Regions from separate parts of the Mus musculus genome. Here all the other regions are reported to be linked to region 6. Evidence: microRNA targets listed by miRTarBase, many of them from high-throughput screens and not tested one by one. Region 6 holds a microRNA gene; each other region holds the end of a gene's coding sequence.

Evidence for each region. Region 6 holds the annotated microRNA mmu-miR-1306-5p (CACCACCUCCCCUGCAAACGUCC, at 2,694-2,716, shown strand). A microRNA usually pairs through its seed, bases 2 to 8, with sites in the 3' UTR of a target mRNA and lowers its output. Matches are read on the target gene's strand: a 7mer-m8 pairs with bases 2 to 8, a 7mer-A1 pairs with bases 2 to 7 and ends in A, and an 8mer does both.
Region 1: the mRNA of Ptprb is a reported target of mmu-miR-1306-5p. Seed matches in the 3' UTR shown: 7mer-A1 at 1,657-1,663.
Region 2: the mRNA of Rinl is a reported target of mmu-miR-1306-5p. Seed matches in the 3' UTR shown: 8mer at 2,569-2,576.
Region 3: the mRNA of Lhfpl4 is a reported target of mmu-miR-1306-5p. Seed matches in the 3' UTR shown: 7mer-m8 at 1,906-1,912.
Region 4: miRTarBase lists Rab11fip5 as a target of mmu-miR-1306-5p. Seed matches in the 3' UTR shown: 7mer-A1 at 2,985-2,991.
Region 5: miRTarBase lists Slc8a2 as a target of mmu-miR-1306-5p. The part of its 3' UTR that is shown has no 7-base or 8-base seed match.

Annotation. Positions count from the first base shown.
Region 1 is chr10:116,383,124-116,387,225 of GRCm38, forward strand. Ptprb (protein tyrosine phosphatase, receptor type, B) reads left to right here. Exons shown (of 32, transcript NM_029928.2): 32 at 730-4,102. The coding sequence ends at 752. Among named protein-coding and RNA genes, the nearest start is that of Kcnmb4os1, 33 kb to the right of the region's middle.
Region 2 is chr7:28,797,407-28,801,489 of GRCm38, reverse strand. Rinl (Ras and Rab interactor-like) reads right to left here. Exons shown (of 12, transcript NM_177158.5): 11 at 3,767-3,930; 12 at 2,525-3,680. The coding sequence ends at 3,636. Among named protein-coding and RNA genes, the nearest start is that of n-TKctt24, 5.4 kb to the right of the region's middle.
Region 3 is chr6:113,168,545-113,172,637 of GRCm38, forward strand. Lhfpl4 (lipoma HMGIC fusion partner-like protein 4) reads right to left here. Exons shown (of 4, transcript NM_177763.3): 4 at 1-3,414. The coding sequence ends at 3,314. Among named protein-coding and RNA genes, the nearest start is that of Lhfpl4, 25 kb to the right of the region's middle.
Region 4 is chr6:85,333,440-85,337,542 of GRCm38, forward strand. Rab11fip5 (RAB11 family interacting protein 5 (class I)) reads right to left here. Exons shown (of 6, transcript NM_001003955.2): 5 at 4,042-4,103; 6 at 1,523-3,787. The coding sequence ends at 3,584. Mir705 (microRNA 705) reads right to left here and starts at 2,934; the gene lies at 2,853-2,934. It also overlaps a transcript of Sfxn5 not described here.
Region 5 is chr7:16,158,521-16,162,623 of GRCm38, forward strand. It overlaps Slc8a2 (solute carrier family 8 (sodium/calcium exchanger), member 2), which reads left to right. Exons shown (of 10, transcript NM_148946.3): 10 at 284-1,991. The coding sequence ends at 660. Among named protein-coding and RNA genes, the nearest start is that of Meis3, 15 kb to the right of the region's middle.
Region 6 is chr16:18,283,004-18,287,003 of GRCm38, reverse strand. It overlaps Mir1306 (microRNA 1306), which reads left to right and starts at 2,687; the gene lies at 2,687-2,765. It overlaps Dgcr8 (DGCR8, microprocessor complex subunit), which reads left to right. Exons shown (of 14, transcript NM_033324.2): 2 at 2,308-3,307; 3 at 3,721-3,880. The coding sequence starts at 2,588. Gm24572 (predicted gene, 24572) reads left to right here and starts at 2,367; the gene lies at 2,367-2,454.

The DNA.
Region 1 (4,102 bases), not on the chromosome of region 6:
AGGTTTTTGCTTGTCAGCCTCTTTTAAGAAACTCCCGGATGGTGGAGGACGGTGGGGTCGATCTTAAAAGCGTTCTTTGTCTTGCGTTAACTTGTTTGAGAATCTTTGAAAAACTAAGCTTGGGTGTGCCTAGAAGAAGTTAACTGTGGGCTTGAAGTATAACTACTATCCTAAAGGCTAGGAGTCAGAACGTAGCTCTGAGGCTGCCAGGAGTTCATATTCTACGTCTCCTCAGGCAGAGTACTCTGTGTCCTGGCCTTGGCCTGCCTCTGGAACTCAGAGGCAAGGCATGGGCAACAGGAGTCCCTTCCAAGTCCAGGACTCTGCCTTTCTAAAGAGGATGGGCTAGCTCCATAGTGATGCTCTATCCTAAAGAGCTTAGTGATGCCCTAAATCACTTGGGTGATATCCACCAGTGTCTTCCATGTATACATCTCAGAAGTAGGACAATGGAGGCAGTCTCTCTACAGCAGCCGCTCTCAGCCTTCCCGATGCTCTGACCCTTTAATATGCAGCTCTTCACGTCGCGGTGACCCCAACCATAACATTTCCACTGCCACTGCATAACTGTGCTTTACCTATTGTTTTGAATCACAATGTAAGTATCTGATACGCGGGATATCTGATATGCAACCCTTTGTAAAAAGGGTCGTTCGACTCCCAAAGGGAATGTGACCCACGGGTTGAGAACTGCTCTACAGTTTCTAACCATACCATCTTTGCTTCCAGATGCAATCTACTCGAGACATTAAGAATTCACCTGAAGATCCCCTGGATAAAAGCGTTTCACTGTGTGACTTTAAAAAAAAACAAAAACAAAAAAACAAAAACAAAACCTTGCTTCATGCCCTGTGGGGGTGCCAGCCATTTCTGTTGATACTATGTATAATTTATTAATCTGGAGAATGTTAAAGAATTTATGTAATTTAAAGGTAACAGATATTATTGTACATACTTGTATTTTGTAGTTTCTCCTGTAAATATGTATTTTTCATAATGTTTAAAATTAAGCTTTATATATTTTCACACTAAAGTGTTCATGGCTTGTTGTACATAGACCCATACAGCCTGTATGACAGGGCCACGGGTGAAAAGTGTGTAGAGGAAGTCGCAAGGACAGTCCCCGGGGGTGTTTCTTACCTGTCCTTATAGTCACTGGGTAAGCGAACGTCAGAGCTGAAGAGAGCATACCATGAGGCTAGCTATGTTGAGCTGCTTTCTTATGAATGGACCCTGGGATCTAAGGAATATAATAGTCAAAAAAGATTAGGGCTGTGGCCAAACCTTTGTGGTAGGCCATATGCCAAGAAATTAAAAATAAATGAAGTGAATTAAAAGGAGGATTCGACAGCACCAAAGCTGAGCTTGCTGTTGTCTAAGCTAGAAGCTTTTTGTCTGACTCCTCCCAGGGTCCCAGGGTCCCTCCCAGGGTCAACTTGAAGCTTGCAGTGACCACGGGGTTAAGGGGTGCCATAGCGAGCAATACTAACAGGGATGAGGAACCTCCAGCACACAGCAGCGGGCCACCTGCAACAGTCCCAGCTGGTTCTCCTCTGGAAAGAGTTACAGTGGCAGGTGATGTTCCTGATCAGAGAAAGCATGGTATGCCAACATGTCCATAGAAATAGCTACATCATATATAATGAGTTAAAGAGTGGTGGTAAAACACACACACACACACACACACACACACACACACACACACACACACACACACACCAGCTCTCCTTAGTCTAAAAACCCTTCAAATGCTCTTTCTAAGTAAGTTGATGCAGTTAAAATGTTATCAAGTTCTCACCTGAAGCTCAGTTTACTGTAAGCAACGCCACACACCCTACCAATTTTATCATTAAGATTTATGCTTTATTTGACTATAAATAATCCCAAGTGACTCAGAGAGTGGACATTGGCCAGATCAAGGTCTGATTCGTAGATGTTTCCTGAGGAAGGTCTAGAGAGAGTCCTGTGGGTGCCTGAGTGTGACGTCACATTTTCTGACCTCAGAGCTTCATTTCCAGAAACAGCAGCTTCTCTCGAACATAGGCATCTTTGCCATGTATCATAAATTCCCACAATAAAATGGATATAATTGGCATAACAATTGAAAATAATTAACGATACCTATTGTATAGGTGTTTATCACTGTAACCTTAGTTTGTAAATATAATGTGATACAGATAATTACATAACTCCACACCCAGCCTGGAAATGTTTTTAGGGAGTGTTCGAAGTTTATAGAAACAGAGGAGCTGTGTCCTAAGGATCCCTGTGAACAACATTCAGAGTTCTCCCGATGTCCCTGTGCTCTGTGCCCCCATGACAATGATACTGAGCAGCTCTGGCCCTGCGGCCAGAAACATGGCGGATCTTGGGAACAGGAAAAAGAGGGGGAGAGGTGTAAGCATATAGCGGTAACTAGGGAGAAAATGGAGGCCAGGCATGGTTTGGGTGTGTTGTGTGTTAGGAATGGTTTTCTTAGAGGAAAAAGAAAAAAAGCTAGGTCGAGGGAGCAGCTCAGAGGTAGCAAGCTTGTGTGTGTATCTCTCCCTCCTCCCCTCTGAGAAGAGAAAAGAAAGGGGAGGGGGTAGAGTTGTAAAACGATGTTGCTTGGTGCAAAGCATGCTCATGACCTGGAAAAGGAAGTCCATTTTCATTTTAAGAAAAGTTCCAGCAAGGGCCTGGAACCTGTTGGGCCCTGTTCCGAAATCTGTTTCTCTGTGTCCTCAAGGAGAGAAGCAAGGTGCAGTGAAATTAATGTTGTTATTGTTTTCAATAGGAAGTGGAAGAGGGTCTGGGTGAGGGCAGGGGACCAGAGCGATGCCTTCCTTGAGGCACCTGCCAGCAAGGGCTGGAGCTGTTTCTATGGCAAGTCACTAGATGCAGAAGAGAAAGCAGTTCGTTGCACACGCAGGGACTACCACCACAAAGCCCCTGCAGGTCTGTAGCCGTAACTCACACACCTCTCAAAGCAGCTTGGGTGAAGTCAGAGGTACAGAAATGAGCACAGCCATGCAGCCCAGGGACACCATGCATTCTTGCTCTCTATTCCAGGGAATACTAATACCTCCTCTATACAAGTTTTAAAGCCCCCTTAGCAACAAATACTTCTGTGTAATTTCTCTCTTGAAAAGATCTAATACAAATCTAGTTGATCTACCCATCAAACTTAGCGGAGAGCTGGACTGAAAATGTAACTACCGATAGGATGCTTGCCAGGCACATGGGAGGCCCTGGGTTTAGTCTCAGGTACCACAAAATAAGTAAGGAGAAAAAGAAAGAAAGGTTTCTTTGGCCCTTCCTTCTGTTGGGTGCATCTCCCCTTAATTGCTTCACATGGCTGTGCCTCGGTAAACACTCCACTTACTACCGTGTCGGACATCCTGTCTGCACCTGAGAGCAGCTCTGTACTCAACTAAAGCTGTCAAGTACTTCAAGGCTCTCAGACTTTGAGAGAGTCTGTTTTGCATCTTAATAATTATTTACCCAGGTTCCTTATAATTAACTCCTCTAGTCTTTCAGATTAAATCAATTTCACATTGCAAGTCTGCGTTACTCTGGAAAGCTGCCAACTTTCCCACTCTTGAATCAGATTGTTCAAAGATGCATCTATCTCCCTGTCTGGGCTTGCAAACGTTCATCTTGAGGAACTTCCACCCTTTAGTGCCCGGCCTTCCACCCTCCCCTTGCTTGCTGCTGCTTCCTGGTGAATGGCTCACTGTGCTGGGCGAATGTGCCTTTATCTTCTATTCATCTCATCTTCCACACACTGCTAGCATCTCATAACCTCAACACCATACAGGAGTGATTAAGACTTTAATTTTTCAACATTGAAACGGCAACAACATAGCAATCTGGGGTCAGTTATATTTAGGAGGCTCTGTAATTAATTTTGTTATTACCTCTTGGAGGAAAGCCCAAAATGATATGAGAAAATACTGTGAAACGTTTTAACAGATGTCCAGCAATACAAAAATAGGGCACTCATGATCCACTGCACAGTGCTTCTCTTAGCTCCGTGTTAAGGCTCTAACTCCTTATATTAAACACTTTCTGATCCCCTCACAAAAAGAAGGAAGGAAGAAAGAGAGAGAGAGAAAAAGAA
Region 2 (4,083 bases), not on the chromosome of region 6:
GCTGTGCAGGTCAACACAGGTATATTCTTCAATACTTTCTTGACTTTTTTGTTTGTCTTGTCTTGTTTTGTTTTTGAGACAGGGTTTCAGTGTATCCCTGGCCGTCCTGGAACTCACCCTGTAGACCAGAGAGGTCTCAAATTCACAGAGATCGACTCTGCCTTCCAAGTGCTGGCTGGGATTAAAGGCGTGTACCACCGCCTCCTGGAAACATCATTTTATTTATATTTGTGTGTTTATGTTCACACGTCCAATGGCACAGATATGAAGGTCAGAGGACCAGGAGTTGATTCTGCCCTCTTCAAACTCAAGTTGTCTGTCCACCTTGGCAGCAGAACCTGTTACTTTTTTTCTCTTTTTGGCCAGCACCACATTTAATCAATTTATGTGTTTTTCTTGCATGTGTGTGCCTGGTGCCCTTGGAGGTCAGAAGAGGGTGTTGGGCCGGGCGTGGTGGCACACACCTTTAATCCCAGCACTTGGGAGGCAGAGGCAGGCGGATTTCTGAGTTCGAGGCCTACCTCTACCTCCCAAGTGCTGGGATTTTTTTGGTCTACAAAGTGAGTTCCAGGACAGCCAGGGCTACAGAGAAACCCTGTCTCAAAAGAAGAGTGTTGGATCCCCTGGAACTGGACTTATAGAAGGTTGTAAGCTGCCATGTGGGTGCTGGGAATAGAACCTGGGTCCTCTACAAAAACACGAGTGCTCTGAACCACTGCCCCATCTCTCTAGCTCCCCTTTTTTTTTTTTTTTTTTTTTTGGACAAGAGTCTCTTGCTGAATCTAGAAGTTGCTGCTTTGGCAAGACTGGCAGGCCAGTGAGTCAGTTATAGGTACCTGCTGCCACACCAAGGACCTGAACACAGGTCCTTGTATAGTAGGCACTTAGCCCAGTGGGCCATCTCCCAAATCTACTTTGGTTTTGAAGGTAGGGTCTTCCTACAAAGCCCAGGCTGACTTAGAACTAGAAGGAATCCTCCTGCCTCTGCTTTCTAAATGCTGTGGTACATGACAGGCATGCATGTTTAGAATTTTTAAGTTTTTGGTGTGGTGGTGGTTTGAATGAGAAATGTCCCTAGAGGCTCAGGTGTTTGGACACATGGCCCCTGGCTGGTGGCACTGCTTGGGGAGGTTACAGGCCCTTGAGGAGGCAGAGCCTTATGGGGAGAAGTTTATCACTAAGGAAAGGACTCAAGGCTTCTCAACCTGCCCCCTCCCTCCTGTTCTCTGTGCTTCCTGTGAGCGGCTGAAGATGTGATCTCTTCACATCTTCTTCTGAAGATGTGTACTCTTCCTGCCATGCCTCCCCTTCCACGGCGGAGTCTTCTAGAACCTTAAACCAAAATAAACCCTTTCCTTCCCCCGGTGGCTTCTGGTCACGGTGTCATCACAGCAACAAGCCACACATACAGATGTGGCCCACGTGATTCTTCTTTGGCTGCCTCCTCTTCTGCTACGTGCCGCGCATCCCTGTCCAATCCACCTGCATGAAGCTTTCCTTGTTTTTCTATAAAATAGAAGAGGTGGGGTTGGGGGGGCCTTGGAGGGGTAGCATGTTTTTAATCCCAGCACTTGGGAGGCAGAGGTAGCCAGATCCCTGAGTTCAAAGCCAGCCTGGTCTAAGAGCAGATTCCAGGGCAGCCAGAGCTTCACCCAGTCTCAAAAAAAAAAAAAAAAGGTACATTTCCCTCACTCCCACACAACTCACACACTTCAGACACCAGATGTGTGTGGAGGTTTTCCCACACATACATCAAGAAATTCCCTTGGCCAATAAAGATGGGTGTCCTATAATTTAACCCGATCCTGACACTATCTGGAGTTAGCCTCAGATCCTACAGATAATGAGCTTGGGTCTACAGGATGCACCCAACTTCTGCTGCTTCGGGGCCGGTCTTGAGTTTCAGGTAATAAACCGTCTATCTGGCCAGTGGACTTAGTTAACTTGCTAGGATGATTCCTATAACTCAAACACTCAGATACCTTTATCAACTTACTATGCACACTCACTAACTTACGATGGTCTCACTTATATTTTAAAGATACTGTGCCTTGCCTGCAGGAATGTCTGTGTATCACATGTGTGTCTGATGCTAGTGGAAGCCAGAAGAGGGTCTCAGGTGCTTAGAACTCGAGAACTTGAGTTACAGATGGTTTGGGATTTGCCGTGTGGGTGCTGGGAAGTGAATCCTGGTTCTCTAGGTGAATAGTCAGTGCTGTTAATGAAGACAGCTCTCCAACACTGACGTACACTGGGGCATGCGTGTGTGTGTGTGTGTGTGTGTGTGTTGATGGTAATAAAAACTACAGCCTCAAGCATGCAAGGCACATACTTTACCACCAGGCCACACTCCAGCTCTTTAACAGTGGCCTCTAGGCAAGCACCGCGCTGATGAGCCATACCCACAGCCCTTTGCTGCGAATTCTAGGTAAGAGCTTCATTGCTGAGTCAGGCAGGGCCTCGGGCATCCCAGGCGGGCCTCAGTCTCCTCACATGTTGGTGGGATTACAGGTCTGCACCTCCATTGCTCGTCAGTACATTTTAAATTTTATTGATTATTATTATTATTACCACCTTGGTGTCTTAAGACGGCAGGAATTTATTTGCTCACAATTCTGGAGGTCAGAGTTCTGACATCACTAATCTCACAGAAACCAGGTTGACAGCAGGGCCCCATGACTTCTGCAGCTCTCAGAGGGGGGGTGGCAGTGGGGAGAAGCTTTCCTGGAGTAGCCCAGCATCTCCCGTCTCTCTTGTTCCCATCCGTTCGTTCTCCTTGTCTCCCGCATGGCGTGGGTGCTCCTGGAGTCACAGACACAGTCCCCGGGGCACTGTCCCTCATTTTATCATCTTCAATGATGGCTGAACGAGCTGGGTGGTGGGGGCACACACCTTTAATCCCTGATGTCTGAGTTCGAGGCCAGCCAGGTCTACACAGCAAGTTCCAGGACAGCCAGGGCTACACCGAGGAGCCCTGTCTTGAAAAACCAAAACAACAAAAATAATAATAATAGCTGCACAAACACTTTTGCCAAATACGGTCACAGAGATTAGGGCAGTGATATGTTTTCAAGGCACATAGGTGTTCCTAAACACCTACTATGTTTCAGTGCCACAGTGTCCTCATGGTCTTGGCCTCAAGTACTTTTTCCACCTCATTCTGCTGTATAGCTGGAGGCGTAAGCTCATGATGGTCCCTGTACCTCTGCCACCCTCCTAACTACATGAGCTGCAGAAGAATCCAGAATAAGCTCCCATCTCAGGTCCAGACATGCTGTCATTTTTGTAACGATCACTTGACCAAGTTAAGTGTCACAGTCACAGATAGGATCAGGATGAAGACACCTTTGGGGACGGTGCCTTTATTCTACCTGCCCCAAAGAGATTCAGGCGAGAGGGTTGTAGTTGTAGTACTGTCTGGGTGTGGGTTTTGTTTGCTGGGGAGCGCCTCGTTGAGGTAACATCTGGACAGACCCGAAGGAGGTGAATTGAGGAGGAGGAAGTAAGACATTGCAGGAGGCACGTCTCCTTTCCTGCCCTGCCCTCCATGCTGACCCAGATGCCTCCAGAATCTTGCTTAGCAGAGGAGTGGGTCAAAAGGTTCGGAAGTGACTGGGGTTTGAGAACTCCAGTTTTCATGGGTCCCCTATTGCCCATGGCTCCTCAAAAGGCTGGTTGGCCTGTGGGGAGAAATGGGAGGCTGTGTCAAAGGGGCATCAGAGACCACCGCCCCTTCCACCTGCATCTGCATAGCATAGGTGGTTACCTGGGCTGTGGGCTGGGCTTGCTGGTGCAGTGTCCGTCTTCGATGCCACTGGCGCAGGGAGGCCCGGGCCTCGGAGCTGAGCCCCTGGGGTGCACGGCCAGTGTCTGGCTGGTAGTGAGCAATGTGGTAGAGAGCCCCAAACCACGTGGTCAGATAATACCCAGCTGGGGGAGAGAAAATGAGGTCATCATAGCCCTACTGGGCTTCTCTGAGTGCCCACTCTTTTTTTTTTTTTTTTTTTTTTTGGTTTTTCGAGACAGGGTTTCTCTGTATAGCCCTGGCTGTCCTGGAGCTCACTTTGTAGACCAGGCTGGCCT
Region 3 (4,093 bases), not on the chromosome of region 6:
TTGGCTCTTGCAGGCCCCAGAAGGATGTTAATATTCCCCACATCCTCAGGCCCTTGGAACAGCTTTCCTCCATAGCTCTGGTCCTTAGAGGGCAGTGTTCTACTTCCCTCAACCCCAAGGACTAGTCTAAACAGTGCTCTGGAGCAGAGGCTGGACCCCATTGAAGCTATAACTGCTTTCTCCTCTCCCCTCTCTGTCAAGAGCAAAGAAATCCGCTAACACCAAACACCAGCCTCTCCATCCAGTCACAAATAGCTGAGGATTTTCAGGGACCCAACAACGGGAAGCTCTTGGTTAGTGATCAGAAACAGAGATGTTGATGTCCATATCCTATCCTTCCCCAAAGGCTAACACCAGCTCCCCGCCCTAACTGTCCTACGTCAACTGCCAGGAGGTCAGTTAGAGCCTCACCTGAGTTCTTGGCCGAAACATCCATTTTCTTTGTCCCTAACTCTTCTAAGCCTTCAAGACCACATTTTGGTTCCCATTGCTCCCTCTCTTCTTTCCCCGCGATACCCTGGGGCTCCTGCAGACTGCAGACCTCAGCCTGCCAGCCTGAAACTCCACACTGCACCGCTGGGCAGCAGCTGGTTGGCTGGAGAGTGGCAAGAACACTGGTAGACGACTCCTCAGAGGGAACTCATGCCCTTCCTCTCTGTCATTAGCCCACCTCTATCTAACACAGCCTGGCCTGCTCGGTCCCTTGTACACACACAGTTCTCTCCAAAGGATCAGAGCTACCGCAGACACCAAGAAGTCAATTCTATCCTGTCTGCCAAAGCACAAGGGACCCCCTGGGCAGCAAGTGTTCTTAGGAAAACAGGCTCTCCAAGCACACACATGGCTGCCCTCCTCAATCCCTAGCGTTTCCTCTTCACACACATACCCACTATCTTCTTTCTTCTCTACATTTTGTTCTTGCTCCCTGTGAATTACCCCTCCATTTCCCACCTCCCAGGTTTCTTCATCTGCTGCCCATCCATGGAAAACCCATTCTAGTTCTTCACTTCTCCATCGTTGTGTGTGCCTCTCCAGATCTCTCTCTCTCTCTCTCTCTCTCTCTCTCTCTCTCTCTCTCTCTCTCTCTCTCTCTCTCTCTCCATTCTCTCCATTCCTCCCTTTCCATGCCTGTCGCCTGTCTCCTGCCTCATCTTTACTTCGCCGGCTTTGCTCCTGCCCGCTTCTCAGTCAGTCACCCACTCCTGCCCCTCTCGCCACTACCTGGACCCTCCCCTCTGGTTTGAAGCTGAGGATCTGACTTCCTGCTCCCTTCTCCTTCTGACAAGGCTCCCCCACCCTCCCTGTCCATTCCCAGTCTCCTGGCTACCTGCTGAAGATGACTCCAGCACTCTGGCTCCAGGGAGGGACCAGGTTGGGACAAGAGCTGGGGAAGACAAGGGCAGTGGCCAAAGCTCAGGAGGAGGTGTCTACCCTGGAGGAGAGAGGAGAAAATGTGGAGATGGGATCTGGAACGTTCCAAGTGTCAGGAATTCTGCCAGGAACCAGCATCAGATTCCAGGTAGGGTCCTGCTGGGGCAGCCTTGGGTCATGGGCCTGGCTCAGGAATCCTAACTCAGCTCCAAGTCCTCTGAAAATGAACACAAGGACAGCAAACTCATAGACTAGCCGTTCTTCCTCTCTGGCTGAGGCCAATGTAACACAGGGAAGTGAGACGCCTCCTGGACAGCCTATAGGAGGCACACATTCCTCGACACAAGGACCAGGCAGCAGGCCGTGTCCTCGGAGACATTATGTTTGATGACGTTCGTCTGCCACCCCTCCACTGGAAACTGGAGGCTTTTCTATGATTAGATGGCTCTGCCACCAGATCCATAAGGTAGCCAAAGATGGTCAAAAACTACAACAAAATAAAAAACAAAACAACAACAACAACAACAACAAAAAACCACCTGGAATCTCCCTCGTTTTTCTCTCTGCTAAGGGGGAGGGAGGGGCCCCCCACTGCAGGAGAAGAGAGATCTTCTCATCTGCCCTTTCCTAACACACGCACACACACACACACACACACACACACACACACGCACACACAAACACACACATACATACATACATGCACACACATACACACGCACACACACACACACACACACATACACACATACACACACGCACACACACACAAACACACACATACACACATACACGCACACACATACTCACGCATACACACGCATACACACACATACACACACATACACGCACACACTCATGCACACACACCTACCTCAGCTCCAAGCACTGCCCATGAGGTTGCAGACCCTGGGCTTATCGCAAGGCGAGAAGTGGGCAAAGAGGAGAAAGAGGCAGGGACAGGGTAACAGGGCCTGGGGTGGGGACAAGGGTACCCTGTTCAGAGGTGACCTGCAAGTTCAAGTTAGGCAGAAAAGTATCAAAGACGCAAGACAGTCTCTGCCCTTGGCAGATGTCCAGGGTGTAGGAAGCATGAGAAGGAGAGGGGTAACCCCTAAGTCCCCACCTCTGTGCCCCCTCTCCACAGCCACCAACCCTGACAATGGGCCTGAGAAGTCTATGCTGTACAAAACAGGCCAGGCTCGAGGGGCCAGTCACCAGTGAGATATCCCAGTAGGGAAGAGGCCAGGCCAGCCTCAGGCTGGAACTAGCTTCCTCCTCCCACAGCCTCCAGAGCCCGTGTCTCCCCCTCAGACTCTGAGGTGATGAAGGACTACCAGCAGCAGGAAGGAAGACCCTATCCTTTCCCCCTCAGCACGGCTCAGATTCTTTTGAGAGCTGGGTGCAGGCTTGAATGAGGGAGGCAGAGGAGGCCCCGTTGGGGGGCTGGTGGCACCTGGAGCTTTGTGGCAGATGTGGTGGGACCATCATCAGCGAATAAAAATAAAGTAGGAAAGAGTCTGGCCCTCCTGGGGCAGTGTGTTGAGTAAGTCTCTTTAGGCGATCAGGACCGGCAGGCAAGGACGCAGCAGGCAGCCCTGCACACTGAAGGGGTCCAAGGAGATTGCGCGGCAGAGCGTCCTTTCCCTGGGGATCCCCAGGGACCTCCAGCTAGTCTACACAGGAGAGAAGGAAACCGAGGGACCAAAGAGGGAGGCCCAGGCTCCACTAGGTCCAATGGAGGCGGGGCCAGACTCAGGATCTCAAGGGCTCTGCCTTCTTGCCAGGCTGCCACCTAGCCCCTGCCTCTCTTCAGAGCCCGGAGGAGGTCCGTGTGCAGCCAGTTCAAGATTTGGGTCTGGAGCTTGAACGCAGGAATGAGAGGGCAGCAGACGGGATATGCTGAGGTCAGGCCAACTCCTGGGCTATAAAATCCCGGCTTTCAGGGTCCCTGTGTGTGAGCAACAGGGCATGGTAGGACTCCCCAGCCAGACACATCACCTCCTGGCCGCAGCACGGAACTTACTGTAGTGCCCACGAAATCTGTGGGAGGAAGGGAGGGGAGGGGAGAAAGAGAGAGGGGGAAGGGGAGGGAGAGGAAGAGGGAGAATGTTAGAGCCTGTGAGGTCCCAGCTGCCCCCTCAGCCACTCCCCAAGACACAAATGGCCAGAAGTGACTAGAACCAAGTCCTTGAATGACAGGTCAGCCTTAAGCACACCATGTAACCCATTAGCTGTCATGTGTGAAATAAAGACCCTCTCCCACTCCACAGGGCCATTCTGAAAGGTCATAGCAAATGCCTTTGACTTGGAACTGGCCTACAGTGTCCACCTCCATGAAGCAGTTAAGGATGCAGATGGGTGGAGCTCCCCACATCACTGGTGTGGGGAGTTTTATTGGGCAGGAAGGGGTTGTTTTTAACTCTCTTGTATCCTAGGCTGGCTTTGAATTTACAAGGTAGCAGAGGCTAGCCTTGATCTGATTCTCCTGCCTATGCCTTCAGAGTACGAAGCTTACAGGTATACACTACCATGACTGGCCTCCCATATCATTTTAACAATGAGCTGTAGCTGGGAAAGTTGGCTCCCATCTTAATCTTAACTCTTAACAGGAGGCTGAGTGAAGCATAAGGCTTGCCACAGGTATGGGGGCAACCTGGGCTACACAGTAAGTTCCAGTGTATCCTAGTCTACAAAGCAGAGCCATGTCTTTCAAGTAAAT
Region 4 (4,103 bases), not on the chromosome of region 6:
GCCCTTTTAAAATGTCCCTCCTCGGCCCCCGCCACAGTTGCCTCTCCCGATTGGCCGTGAGCAACCGCAGCGAACCGGGCGCGCAGGGGCTTCTGGGGAGTGTAGTTTTCCCCTGCTCTGAGCCTGACAACCTCAGACTGCAGAGAGTTGCACCCACGCAGACCTGGTCTTAGTTCCTACCGCTAAAGCAGCAGGCGTTTGCAGTCCTGAGAATGTATGCAAATGCATGTGCGGATATACGTGTAGGCCTGAGTCTTAGGACAAGGAACCCCTACAAACGCGGACACGACCCGGGATCAGACAAGCAAGGACTCCAGGCAGAGTGGGGTTAATTCGGATGGCCTTCAGCAAGGAGTCGCACTGCGGGATTTTCCTACCGTTTCTTCTATCAAAATCCTGGCTCCAGCCATTCTGCCACTCTCTGAAACAAGCCATGCTCACGCTGCTGTGACCCTTTAACATTCTGCTCATTTTTATCATGGCCTGAGGCGATTCTTTTTATAGGTTCCGCATACGCGTTCATCCGTTCCATCAGCCTACTTCCACAAAAATCCGCTTCCGGATTTTGTACCACGCAGCACTCTCTTGCCTCCTTGCATGTAACTCAGGCTAGCCTGGAACTATGTAGCACAGGCTGGCCTCAAACTTGTGATCCTTCTTCCTCTGCCTCCCAAGTCCCAGGATTACAGGTGCCAGCCAGCAGACAAACCATGAGCTTAAATATCTTTCCTACTGTATGGTGGGGGAGGGGGATGGATAAATCTTCAGTGCAGATATAGGAAGGTTGACACTAGGTACTCAAATGCTTTGGGTGACTTAAATATCCAGAGCTTAAGCATCCTGAGACCCTACTTCTTTTGATCTAAGGAGGTTTGGTCCAAGCCTAATTACTGAGGACCAGCAACAGGGGTGCACCAGGAGCTGTAGAGAATACCAAGGTAATAAACACCTCACCCCCACCCCCTGCAGAATGGCACCAAATGGCAACTGCAGCCCCAGCTAAGTGGTGTGGTTATAAGCCACACTGGGCATGGAGAATGGGGAGTTGATGGTTTCACCCAGGACATAACTCCTTGACTCTAGGGGAGCCTCTGTCTCATGGTGGGATTCAGAGCTAACTTGGGGTTGCCCTCTTGTCCTTCTGGACACAGCATGAGCCATTGGTGGCCCAAGGGCTCATTCACTCACTGATAGCTGACCCACATGGAATAGAACTCACAAATGACCCAAAGAACAGTTCTTATTTTTGGTTTGTATCCTACCTTTCCTTACTGAACTCAGTGGCTTCAGGACAGAAATCACAAAACTTGCCCTCTTTATCCACTCCCCCCACCCCGCCAGGCCCAACACTCAGTAAATATGCCTGTGATCAGTGCCCGTGAGCACAGGCATCCTAGGCACACGGGCCATGAGGCAGTGTTGCCTGTGATTTCAGAGCGGTAGCTCTGTCACCTGAGAACCACACTGCCCTCTCCCACAGGCGGTCTCCTTTGTCCGCTCATTTCAAAACAAACACACAAGCTGGCTGCGGTACGTGATCTTTTTATTCTTCATAAAGTGCTCAAAACATGAAGAACAAGCTCTTTATAGACAGGAGTTTCAACTAGGAGGACAAAGGGCAGAGCAGAGCTGTGCCTGCTTGCTGCCTGTCTGGCTGCACTCTGCAGTATGTGGTAAGGATCAGACAATGAACAAAACCCTGGCCTCAGTTCAGGACCTCTCTGCAGGACACCCCTGCCCTGGCCATGTAGAGAAGCCAAACAGCAAGGATGGATGAAAGATGAGAGAAGGGCTGGGACTAATTAAAGCCCAGAGGAAGACCTAGAAGAGGGACTCAGTTCCTCAAAAGACACCTCCAACACCCAAGGACTGACCCTACCCCCAAACTCTGGGAACTGGTGGCTATTTTCTCATCTCTGAGTTGACCTATAGTTGGTAACTGCACAGTGGTGGACCCCATTGTGGTTCATCTGCTCTATGCTGGCAGAAGACTGACGTCATCCACAGAGAATATTCTCCTGAGGTGTTCTGAGTGAACCCATGACCCTGTCTTTAAGAGACAGCTGGAAAGACGTTACTGCTTCTCCACTGGGCCCAAAGAATCTTTTGTCAGCATCTCACCTCCTTCACTCATACCTTTTGTAATGCACAGCCACCAAGGACCCCCGAGGATGCCAGGGAGACTGGCAGTATTCACAAGCAAGCTAGAAGCTGGACCACAGAGCAGATACCTGACTTCACTTGAATGCACTTCAGCCAAGCCAGGCAAGACAGGAGGGATTGGTGAGCAGGAGGGACTGTACAACAAGGACAGAACAGCTGGAGAGCCACGGGCATTTTCCTAAGCTCAGGTGTCTCCTAAAGCAGAATGAAGCCTCCTGCTTCCAGACAAACCCACTGGTCCAGCATAACTGGGACCCAAGGTCAGACACAGTAAGGTGCAGGATAGCCCCAGACCTACTGTGCACTAGATTTTTTTACCAGGATGCTCCAAATAAGGGTCAAGGGAGGACCAGGAAGTGGGAAGGCGGCTTAGGACACCTCCAAAGCAGGTTGGCCAGAGCCTTAGCTGAGGTACTTCTCGGGGTAGTAAACAGCGTGGTCCACAGCCCCCTTTCAGGACCCTCACAGCCGTTTTCACGTGCTCAACAGGAGGGAGGGGACACCATGGCCAGAGAGACATCTACATCCAGAGGCTCTTGTCCTCACCCACAAAAGGCACGTTTAATTGGTTTCCAAATGTTCTGAGCCCACAGCAGCACAGTTTTGGCATCTGACGAGTGTTAACAGACATGAATGGAGGCCTGGTCCACAAAACATGAGCAGCCCCAAACCCCAACCTGGAGGGTTTCATGTTAGGGAGGTAGGGAGGACTGCAGGAGAAAGAAGTCATTCCCTCTGTGCCCACCCCACCTCCCACCACTACTGGGACATGGAGTGGGAGGGTCTGAAGAGGGGCAGGGGGCAGCTGAGGAATAGGCACATACCACCACCACCACCACCACCACCCCCCACCACCACCACCACCCTGTGTACATGCTCTAGACAGAGAGACAAGACGAAAACACACAGGCTCCTTGCTCTTAGGGTATAGGCACAAGGCTGAAGTGTAGGTGCCCTGGTTGTCTACAGTGCACAGAAAAGCAAGCAGCTTAGTTCCCATCCCTGTCCCAGTGGCCTAGGAGACCCTCCAGGTGCCAGAAGGCAATGGAGATGAAGAGTTGGTCAAGAGGAGAAACAAATGACCAGCCTCATGGGGTGAGCTGTGCTGTCAACAGTGTTGCCTTAGATAATTCAGCTCACCCCAGAACCCAGAGCTCACTCCTGCTCCATCTTGACAGCTAACAACCTTGTTGCAATTCTCTGGGGAGCCCCATAACCTCGCGTGTGAGAATGGTCAGGTAGGGAAGACCCAAGGCTCCAGTGGGAGTTCAAAGAGCCCCTTCCAGCAGCCAGAGCAGAGGCAGGATGGGGAGGGGTGCAGAGAGTCACCATGAGAGCAGGCTTGCCCTACTCAGGTGAGAGCAGTCAGTGGCGGGCACTACACAGGTCCTCACCATCCCTCCAGGGATGGCGTGAAGGGCTACTTGGGGGGGCCAGGGGAGATTTGCAGCAGTGTGGGCGAGGTCTCCATGATCCGCACCAGCAGCCGGTCAATGTAGCTCTCCAGTTCTTGCACATGCTCGTCTCTCTGGCTCAGCTCACGCTCACGCTGCAGGAGCAGGCCAATGAGCTCATCATGAGTCAGGTGATAGTACTTGGCCGACTGGTCCAGCACAGCAGAATCCTATAGCAAAATAGAATGCAACTAAGCAGGGGAGGGCTAGACCTTCCCCCAGCTAGCCCACCCAAACCTGTTTCCCTACTGTAGAACCCCAGACCTGGCAGCAGCCCATCTCTATGGCTGAAGATGTCCTCTCCACTTAAGAGCTGTGGCACGGGGAATTACCAGTTACCTGCTCTGCCCCCAGCATCACTTGGCCTCTGTTCATCTTACGGCCTGTTCTCTCAGTTGCCCCCTAACACCTTGCTGCACCTCACCTTTGGCCTCTTGGTGTCCACACTTGAGCCAAGCTGGGACGCTGGAAGCACAGACTGGATGC
Region 5 (4,103 bases), not on the chromosome of region 6:
CCTTACGGGGTGTGATGGGACGAGGGCTGGGCAGCAGCAGCTCCTCCAAAGTTAAAAAGTGAGCCCCTAGACGAGAGCTCAATGCCAGCTTTACAGAAAGCAAGCTTGATGCCATTGAGAGTAGGCGGTGGAGCCTACTGGTTGCACAAAAGTCCCAAAGAAGTGTTCCACAGACAGTGAAGCTTACTGCATGAAGACCGATCCCAAAGGAAGTAGGCAATGGTCTGGGGACGTCACGCAGCCTCTCACACCGCACCCCCCCCCCTCCGTCTTGTCCCTGTAGACACGTTCGCCAGCAAGGTGGCCGCGCTGCAGGACCAGTGTGCCGACGCGTCCATCGGTAACGTGACCGGCTCCAATGCGGTGAACGTGTTCCTGGGCCTGGGTGTGGCCTGGTCGGTGGCAGCGGTATACTGGGCGGTGCAGGGTCGCCCCTTCGAGGTGCGTGCAGGCACGCTGGCCTTCTCGGTCACGCTGTTCACCGTCTTCGCCTTCGTGTGCATCGCAGTGCTGTTGTACCGGCGCCGGCCGCAGATTGGCGGCGAGCTGGGCGGCCCGCGGGGACCCAAGCTGGCCACCACCGCTCTCTTCCTGGGCCTCTGGTTCCTCTACATTCTCTTCTCCAGCCTGGAGGCTTACTGCCACATCCGGGGCTTCTAGGGCCCTAGCCACCGCCCTGAGGGTGGGGACTTGGTGGCATTTGCTCTTGGACCCACCAGTCTCTCTACCCAGACTCAGCCTGGGCGCTCCCTAGGCTCTTCCTCCTCAGCCTTCTTCCTGGGATCAGCCTCCCTTTCCCCCTGGAATCCCATCCTTTGCCCTCCCTTCTCAGCTGCATCCCCTTCAGCCCATCCTTTGTGAGGTAAACCCGAGTCCCCTGGCCAGACACTACTTCTCGGTCTTTCTGGGCACCGAGCCTGATTCTGTCTTCTCGTGTCCCTCCCTCAAGCCACGAACTTCCACCTGTGCGCCCAGGTCTTAGAACATCTCCCTAGGTACCTCAGAGGGAGGCTGTGCCATCCCAGGACGCCATCCATCTCTGCCCTTAACCACCCCAACCCTCAGGGAGCTCCCTTGCAGTCCCCAGGGAAAGGAATAGGGGTTTGTGCGGGGAGCAGGGAGAAAGGCACGCACCTTCCCTGATTTATCCACTCAGAGGCTTGGAGATGGAGGAGGGACGTTTGGAGTATCTGTCCCCCAGGCTTAGCCAGAGGAGGCACATCTTGAACCCACTACTTCTGACATTCCAGCGCCCTACTCACCCTCCACTACCTCTGAGAGCCTAGCCACGCCTTGGAGGGAGGAGCCTGTGTGTGTATATAGTGTGTTTGGGGAGGGGGGACACGGGAGGGTGCATGTCTTGGGGAAAGGGGCGTTGACAGACTTTCCCTTCTGAGAGGGCAGCAGGACTCACTCAGCCTGAGAACCAGCTTAGTGGATGAGACTGAGACTCAAAGGGAGCCCACCTGACCTCCCCTGACAGTATTCTAGAAGGGTTAACGAAAGTACTCTAGTCTAGAAGGTTTATTTTGCTCTCAGTGCCAGCCAATCTGGGCAGGACCCTCGAAGAGGAGACCGAGGGTCCCAGAGGACCAATGCTACAAGCCAGCAAATGCTGCCACATCTCTGCCTGTTGGGGGGCGGGGGTGGAGGGGAGGGTGGGAGGGGGGCTGGGTGGGCATTTTTAACTTTGCAGGCCATACATCTGTTGGTAGGCCACCTGCATTTTCTTACTGTTGATGTCTCCTGCCCCAAAAAAGACATCCTTGGGGAACGGGGAGTGCTGCCCACTCCTTGCGACCTTAGGTGACCCTGCCACCCTCACAGCCTTCTGCTTTCCCTAAGTTATTATTTTTGCATTTTCTTGTCCATTTGTGCATCAGACCCATTACCCACGGCCCTTCTCACCCCTTGCTCATCAGCATCACTTGATGTCCCTTCTCTGTGGTTTCTGTAAAAAACTGCCATAAAACTTTGAAATTCTGCCTGAACAGTCCTCCCGTGGGAAGTTGGGGTGCAGGAGGAAAGGGATGGTAGCAGCTCCGACATCTAGACCACAGGAAACAGACCCGGCAGCCTTTGCATTAGAGTTGGCCAGACAGCAGGACACCAGCATACGCTAACCACATTCAATGTTACCAGAGCCTCCACCAGCCACAACCATAACTAAAAGCCATAGGCTTCTGGTACCACGCCTTACCCATTAGCCAAGAGCATCTACTAGTTTCACCCCTGCCCATTAGCCATTGGTTTCTAGTACTGATGTTCCACCCATCAATCATGAGCCTCCACTAGCCACGCCCCTGCCAAGCAGCCATAGGTTTCTAGTACCATGCCCCACCCATCAACCAAGAACCTAGCCCTGGTTGCCACGCCCCTCACAGTCCTGAGCTTCTGCTGGCCACACCCCACTCACCAGCCACAAATGGTTCCTCTTCATAGGATATTGTGGGATTGCAAAAGAGAAGGACTCTAATTTGCCTGAGCCAGAGGGAGCTGAGGTTGATGAAGTTTCCTAAATAAAATAGGTCACTTTCTCAGAATCATGCATGGAACAGGAGGTGTGTGTGTGTGTGTGTGTGTGTGTGTGTGTGTGTGTGTGTGTGTGTGTGTGTGTGTGTGTGTGTTTTCATAAGGGTGGATTATTCTAGGGAATGAGTACAAAGTTAATGTGTACAGACGTGTGAGGCAGTGGCTTTTTCAGAGTGGGACAAAGGATGAGCAGAAACGAAAGACGCGCTTCCTGCATGGAGTGGGGAGCAGAGAGACCTTCAGAGGACCAAGTGTAAAAGCCGGTAATAGCCACACAAGGAGGCTTAAGATTTAAGAGCAAAGGGCTGCTTCAGAAGAAATTTAGAAGGAGCAGGCCAGCAGATGATGTCAGCTGATTTATATAATTTTTTTGTTTTGTGTGTATGTGTACTTTGATTGTGTACGTATGTTCATCATGTGCGTGTAGTGTCTGCGAAGGCCAGAAGGGGGCTTTGGATACCCAGAACAAGGCAATCGTGGGCCACGCAATGGATACTGGGAACTGTACCCTGCCGGGTCAATGTTCTTAATCTCCAAGCCGTCTGTCTCTCCAGCTCCTGATTTATAATTTTAAGCATTCCTCATAGACTCCTGTGATATCAGCGACTTCCTGTGATATCAGAGGTTGGAAATCAGGAACTCAGGCAGGAGAAGAGGAGTGGAGGCTGGACTGGGTGTTGGAAATCAGGTCACAGATCAAGCCAGTGAGAAGGCACAGGAAGACCTATCGGCTGGAAAGAGGTGGTGACTGAGGGGGAATTTAGGGAAAAGACCTTAAAGTGACTCGGGTAGGGACAGGGAAGGTGCCCATGCCACCACAGGGCTGGGTACAAAGGAAGCAGCTGCCCTCCCTGGACACAAGATGAGCAGAGGCTGCAGTGGCCCATCGAGCTGCTGTGCTGGGGGTAGCATGAGCAACACAGACACATGGAGTGCCTGAGAGCAGCACTAAAGGATGAGCGAGCACACTAATCTTACCCTCCAGGTCCCACCAGCTCCTGTAGCCACGGGCTCAAGCCAGCGCCTGTCAGTCTAGAATGAAGAGAGCAGGAGAGCACATGGTGGCGGGGGGGGGGGGGGCTGTCAAATGCAGAAGAAACAGGGGAGAGAAGTCTAGGGTGCTGTGGCCCTCAGAAAAGGAAACTGCAGGAGAGGGGGATCTGGGACTTGTCAGCAAGCCAGGACTGGCATAGGCTGCCCGGGGGAAGAACAGAAACAGTGCCTCGGGGTATCTCCAACATTTAAAGTGTGCATGGGTGAGAGAGATGAAGGCAAGGGAGACACCAGAAGAGCAGAGGGAAACCCAGGTGGCAGGCAAGTTTCCAAGATGGCATGCTCATGAGGAAAAATCTGGCGTGACGGATTGGGTGAAGGGCTCAGGGACACTCTAAGATGAAACCATTAGCACAGACCTGCAATCCCAGAACTCAGAAGGCAGAAGCAGGACTGAGTTTCAGGCCAGCCTGAGCTACAGAGTGAGTGAGACCTTACCTCAAAATCACAGTGGGCTGTGACTGCATCTCCTGTGGTAGAGGGCTGGGTTCATATGCATGAAGCCCTGGGGTCAATCC
Region 6 (4,000 bases):
ATTGCTCTGTGGGGCAAATGTTTTATCTGCTTTGTGCTTAACACATATACATGGTGTGTATGCCTTATGGGGCATTCAGCAAATAGTTGATTAATGAATTGAGTAAGCTTTCAGAGGGAAGGTAAGAAACTTACCTTAGCCTGCTGCTGAGTTCCAGAGCTGGACAATTTGCCTGCTTCTGCAAGATGTGTACTTTCCTTTTCCAGGGCCTCAGGGTCCCCACCTATGATATATATTTCTTTAAAGCTTTTCCTGCTTTAACACTTATTAATGTCTTCACTTATTGCCTTCATCTGTAGTTCCTCACTGGCCCACTGCTTTTAACATACAGTATGCTTCCCTATCCTCTACCACTCTTGTCTCCAATCCCTGCCTACTTGAGTGTTCTTACCATTAGCATATCCTACCTCAGATACCACAGATTTGACTTGCTGTGATCTCTGTACACCTAACAGGCACTGTCCTGATCTTATTTGAGGTCTGTTAGGATTAAGCATGCTGATGATTTTGTCCTCTGCAGTGGTCCTTGGTTGCCAGGAAACTTTGATCTCCCTCCTGGCTTCTTAGTTATTGCTCTCTTCTCAGTCATTCATAAGCACCTTTGATGGGAACACCTTTGGAGAGGTGTTTTGTTAAATTTCCATTGAATTAAAAACTGTTAGGCCACTGCCAGTTATAAGACATAAAGTCATAGTATAGACTTCCGGCTGTATCTAGGCCTTGGGGTTAATTATCTCTTGTTTTTGGTAGCACCTCTCAGAGTAGACTGTAAGTGAGTTTTTAAATGGTTTAATTTAACCTAAACAAGCCTCTGGCTTTTATGTACCTTCAGCAAGGCATAACCACCCCACTCAACCCTTTTATTGTAAGCTGCTTATATAGTTGATGTTTTCTGTCCTCTTGTCCTTTCTGGAGTCCAATATGAGTTATTGTAGGGGTAACCAAGCTGTCACCCATGGGCATGGTTGTATGTATGTATGTATATCTGCACCTGTAACTGTGTGCATGGCATGTGCATGTTTCTGTGCATGATGTGGGAGTGTGCATGTGTGTGTTCGTGTGCATGTGTTTCTGCCAATAACATTTTTTTCTGTGGATCTTTTGGTTTTGTGGCCAGCCTTCTGCTGATCTGCCTGCCCTGTGTGTCATCCCTCTTTGCAAGCATCCTCTGTAGCAGAGCTTCCTAGCATTACATCCTTCCCTCTCTGCTCTTTCCCTCTGGTGGTTTTGCTGCTTTACTTCCATGTGGTCTCCTCCCCTAGACCTCTTCAGGGCTCCAGAGTTATGGCCTGCCTGAGCACTGTGAGACAGGGCTACCTACAGCTCCTTCTCTTCTTCTCCCCAGGGTGCTAGAGTGTGTCTGCAGAGAAGCTTTCTCTTCACCTTTTTTTTCTGCTTTCCACCCCCATAGGGTCTGCAAGCATAGACCATTCCGTGACACTTTCTTTTTGTCTCCAGAGCTGCTTCCACATCTTTGTTTTGGAGAATTGTCCCAACATCTGGTGCAGTCCTATACCTGGTATAGCTGTGAGTCTTCTTTATAAGGAGAGTCACTTCCCTATTGATAGCTCACTATTCTTAGCCTGGAGCCAGGCTCCAAATGGCACCCAGAACCCTTTCTACCTTGGCTCTACCTTTCTCCTATGTTGTCCCACCTACCCCTTCCCCAATACTAGCAGGCTCCCTTCCCAACAGACACCCTTCCTCTACTGGGAATGGATCTATGCTGCCACTCCTGGTGACCTCAGCACGCTGCATCACTGTCCTGTCCACGTGCCACGTTGTGGGCCCAGGAGAGGGGGTCCCTGGGTAGCAGAGTGCCTGGCTATATCTCTGAGGTCTCTAGTGCCACAGAGTTGAGCTGAGGGTCTCACTCGCCCTCTGACTGACCCAGCCCTTGCAGGTGAGTGGATTGATGTCCCTCTTATGGCCTGAAGGAGGCCATGCACTCTACGTCTGTTCCTGAAATGGTGATGCATGCTTGCTTATCCACTAGACCAGGTTATGGGAGTGCTGTGGGAAAATTTAGCTTTTTTTTTTTTTTTTTTTAAAGTCTTAGTCTTTTTTGAGCTCTAAGACTGTATTTTTTGTGCTTCTGAAATAAAGATTAAAATGAATAGTTGATAAAATACTTAATTTAGGACTTAAAATTTAAAGTTATTTTTTTCTGATGTCTAAAAGGCTTCCTTAAAGGCAGTGTTATCTTGGTCCTTTACTACACCATTGATAACATTTGACTTTTAACTTTGTACCAGAGAAGTAAAAGGTTTCTGTCATTTGTGATGATATTTTTAAATTTTTTTGCAGGTGGAAGAAGAAAGGTGCCACTTTGGCATGAAGATAGACTCACTTAGACGTCAATCTTTTAAGCTGAGTGCATTGTGATTTCCAATAATTGAGGCAGTGGTTCTAAAAGCTGTCTACATTAATGAAAAGAGCAATGTGGCCAGCTTGACTAAGCCGCCAGTGTGTACAGCGCGGGCAGGACGACACCGGGTCTCGACGGACTTGTGCATGTTAGCAGTATAGATTTATGTAAGGTGGTTTAAAACTCTGGTCTTTTAAAGTAGTCTTAACTGCTCATAATATGGAGACATATGAGAGTCCCTCTCCTCTCCCGCGTGAGCCCGCAGGAGAAGCGATGATGGAGAACCGAGCTTGCCCCTTCCAAGTGCTGCCCCATGAACAGTCTCCACCACCTCCCCTGCAAACGTCCAGTGATGCAGAGGTAATGGACGTTGGCTCTGGTGGTGATGGACAGTCCGAACCTCCTGCCGACGACCCATTCAACTTCTACGGAGCTTCTCTTCTCTCCAAAGGATCCTTCTCTAAGGGCCGCCTCCTCATAGACCCGAACTGTAGTGGCCACAGCCCGCGCACTGCCCGGCACGCACCTGCGGTCCGGAAGTTCTCCCCTGACCTTAAGTTGCTTAAGGATGTAAAGATTAGCGTGAGCTTTACTGAGAGCTGCAGGAGTAAGGACAGGAAGGTGCTGTACACAGGAGTAGAACGCAGCACTCGGCCTGAGTGTGGCCAGCTCCTTAGTCCTGTCAGTGGGGACGTGCATGCTTGTCCCTTTGGCGGGAGTGTTGGTAATGGGGTAGGCCTAGGGGGTGAGAGTGCAGATAAGAAGGATGAGGAAAATGAGCTGGATCAGGAAAAGAGAGTGGAGTATGCAGTGCTCGATGAGTTAGAAGATTTTACTGACAATTTGGAGCTAGATGAAGAAGGAACAGGCGGGTTCACGGCTAAAGCAATCGTTCAAAGAGACAGAGTGGATGAAGAGGCCTTGAATTTCTCCTATGAGGTATGTTGGTGACCAGTTCCCTGGAGGGCTCTGAGCAAAACCCAAAGAGAGGTTTGGAAGTGGCTTTATTTTTAAAAGCAGGGAAATCAAAGCAAAAACCCTGTGTGAGGTTAAATATTAATGGAGAAGGGAAAGATCCTCAGTAGAAAGTTTGGCTAACATTGAGCCTTGTCTCTTTCCAACCCAAGTCAGCAGATGCTGCTGAAAAGCCTCTTTGGCTGGGTGTGCTCCTGGAGTAGGCATGTTGATTTCACTTGTCATTTCAACCTGTTTGTTTTTCAGATGATCAAATGCCATCAGGGCATGCTCAGTCCCCATTGAGGGGCTCCTCTGTGTGTTCCCTCATACATGTGAAACTTGTCCTTGGTGCAAAAGCATGGAGGGGTGTAGGGTCTGAACACTTTATTTTGCAGGATGACTTTGACAATGATGTGGACGCTTTACTAGAAGAAGGTCTCTGTGCTCCCAAGAAGAGGCGAATGGAGGAAAAATATGGCGGAGACAGTGATCATCCATCTGATGGAGAGACAAGTGTACAGCCAATGATGACCAAGATTAAAACAGTGCTCAAAAGTGAGTGAGTCCATCACAAATCCTGAGTGCTTCATGGCCCCAGAACTCTTTCCTTCCCAAGAATATTTTGGGAGTTCTTTGGTGCTAGACATCAATCTGAGTAGAGACAGGTTTAAGTAT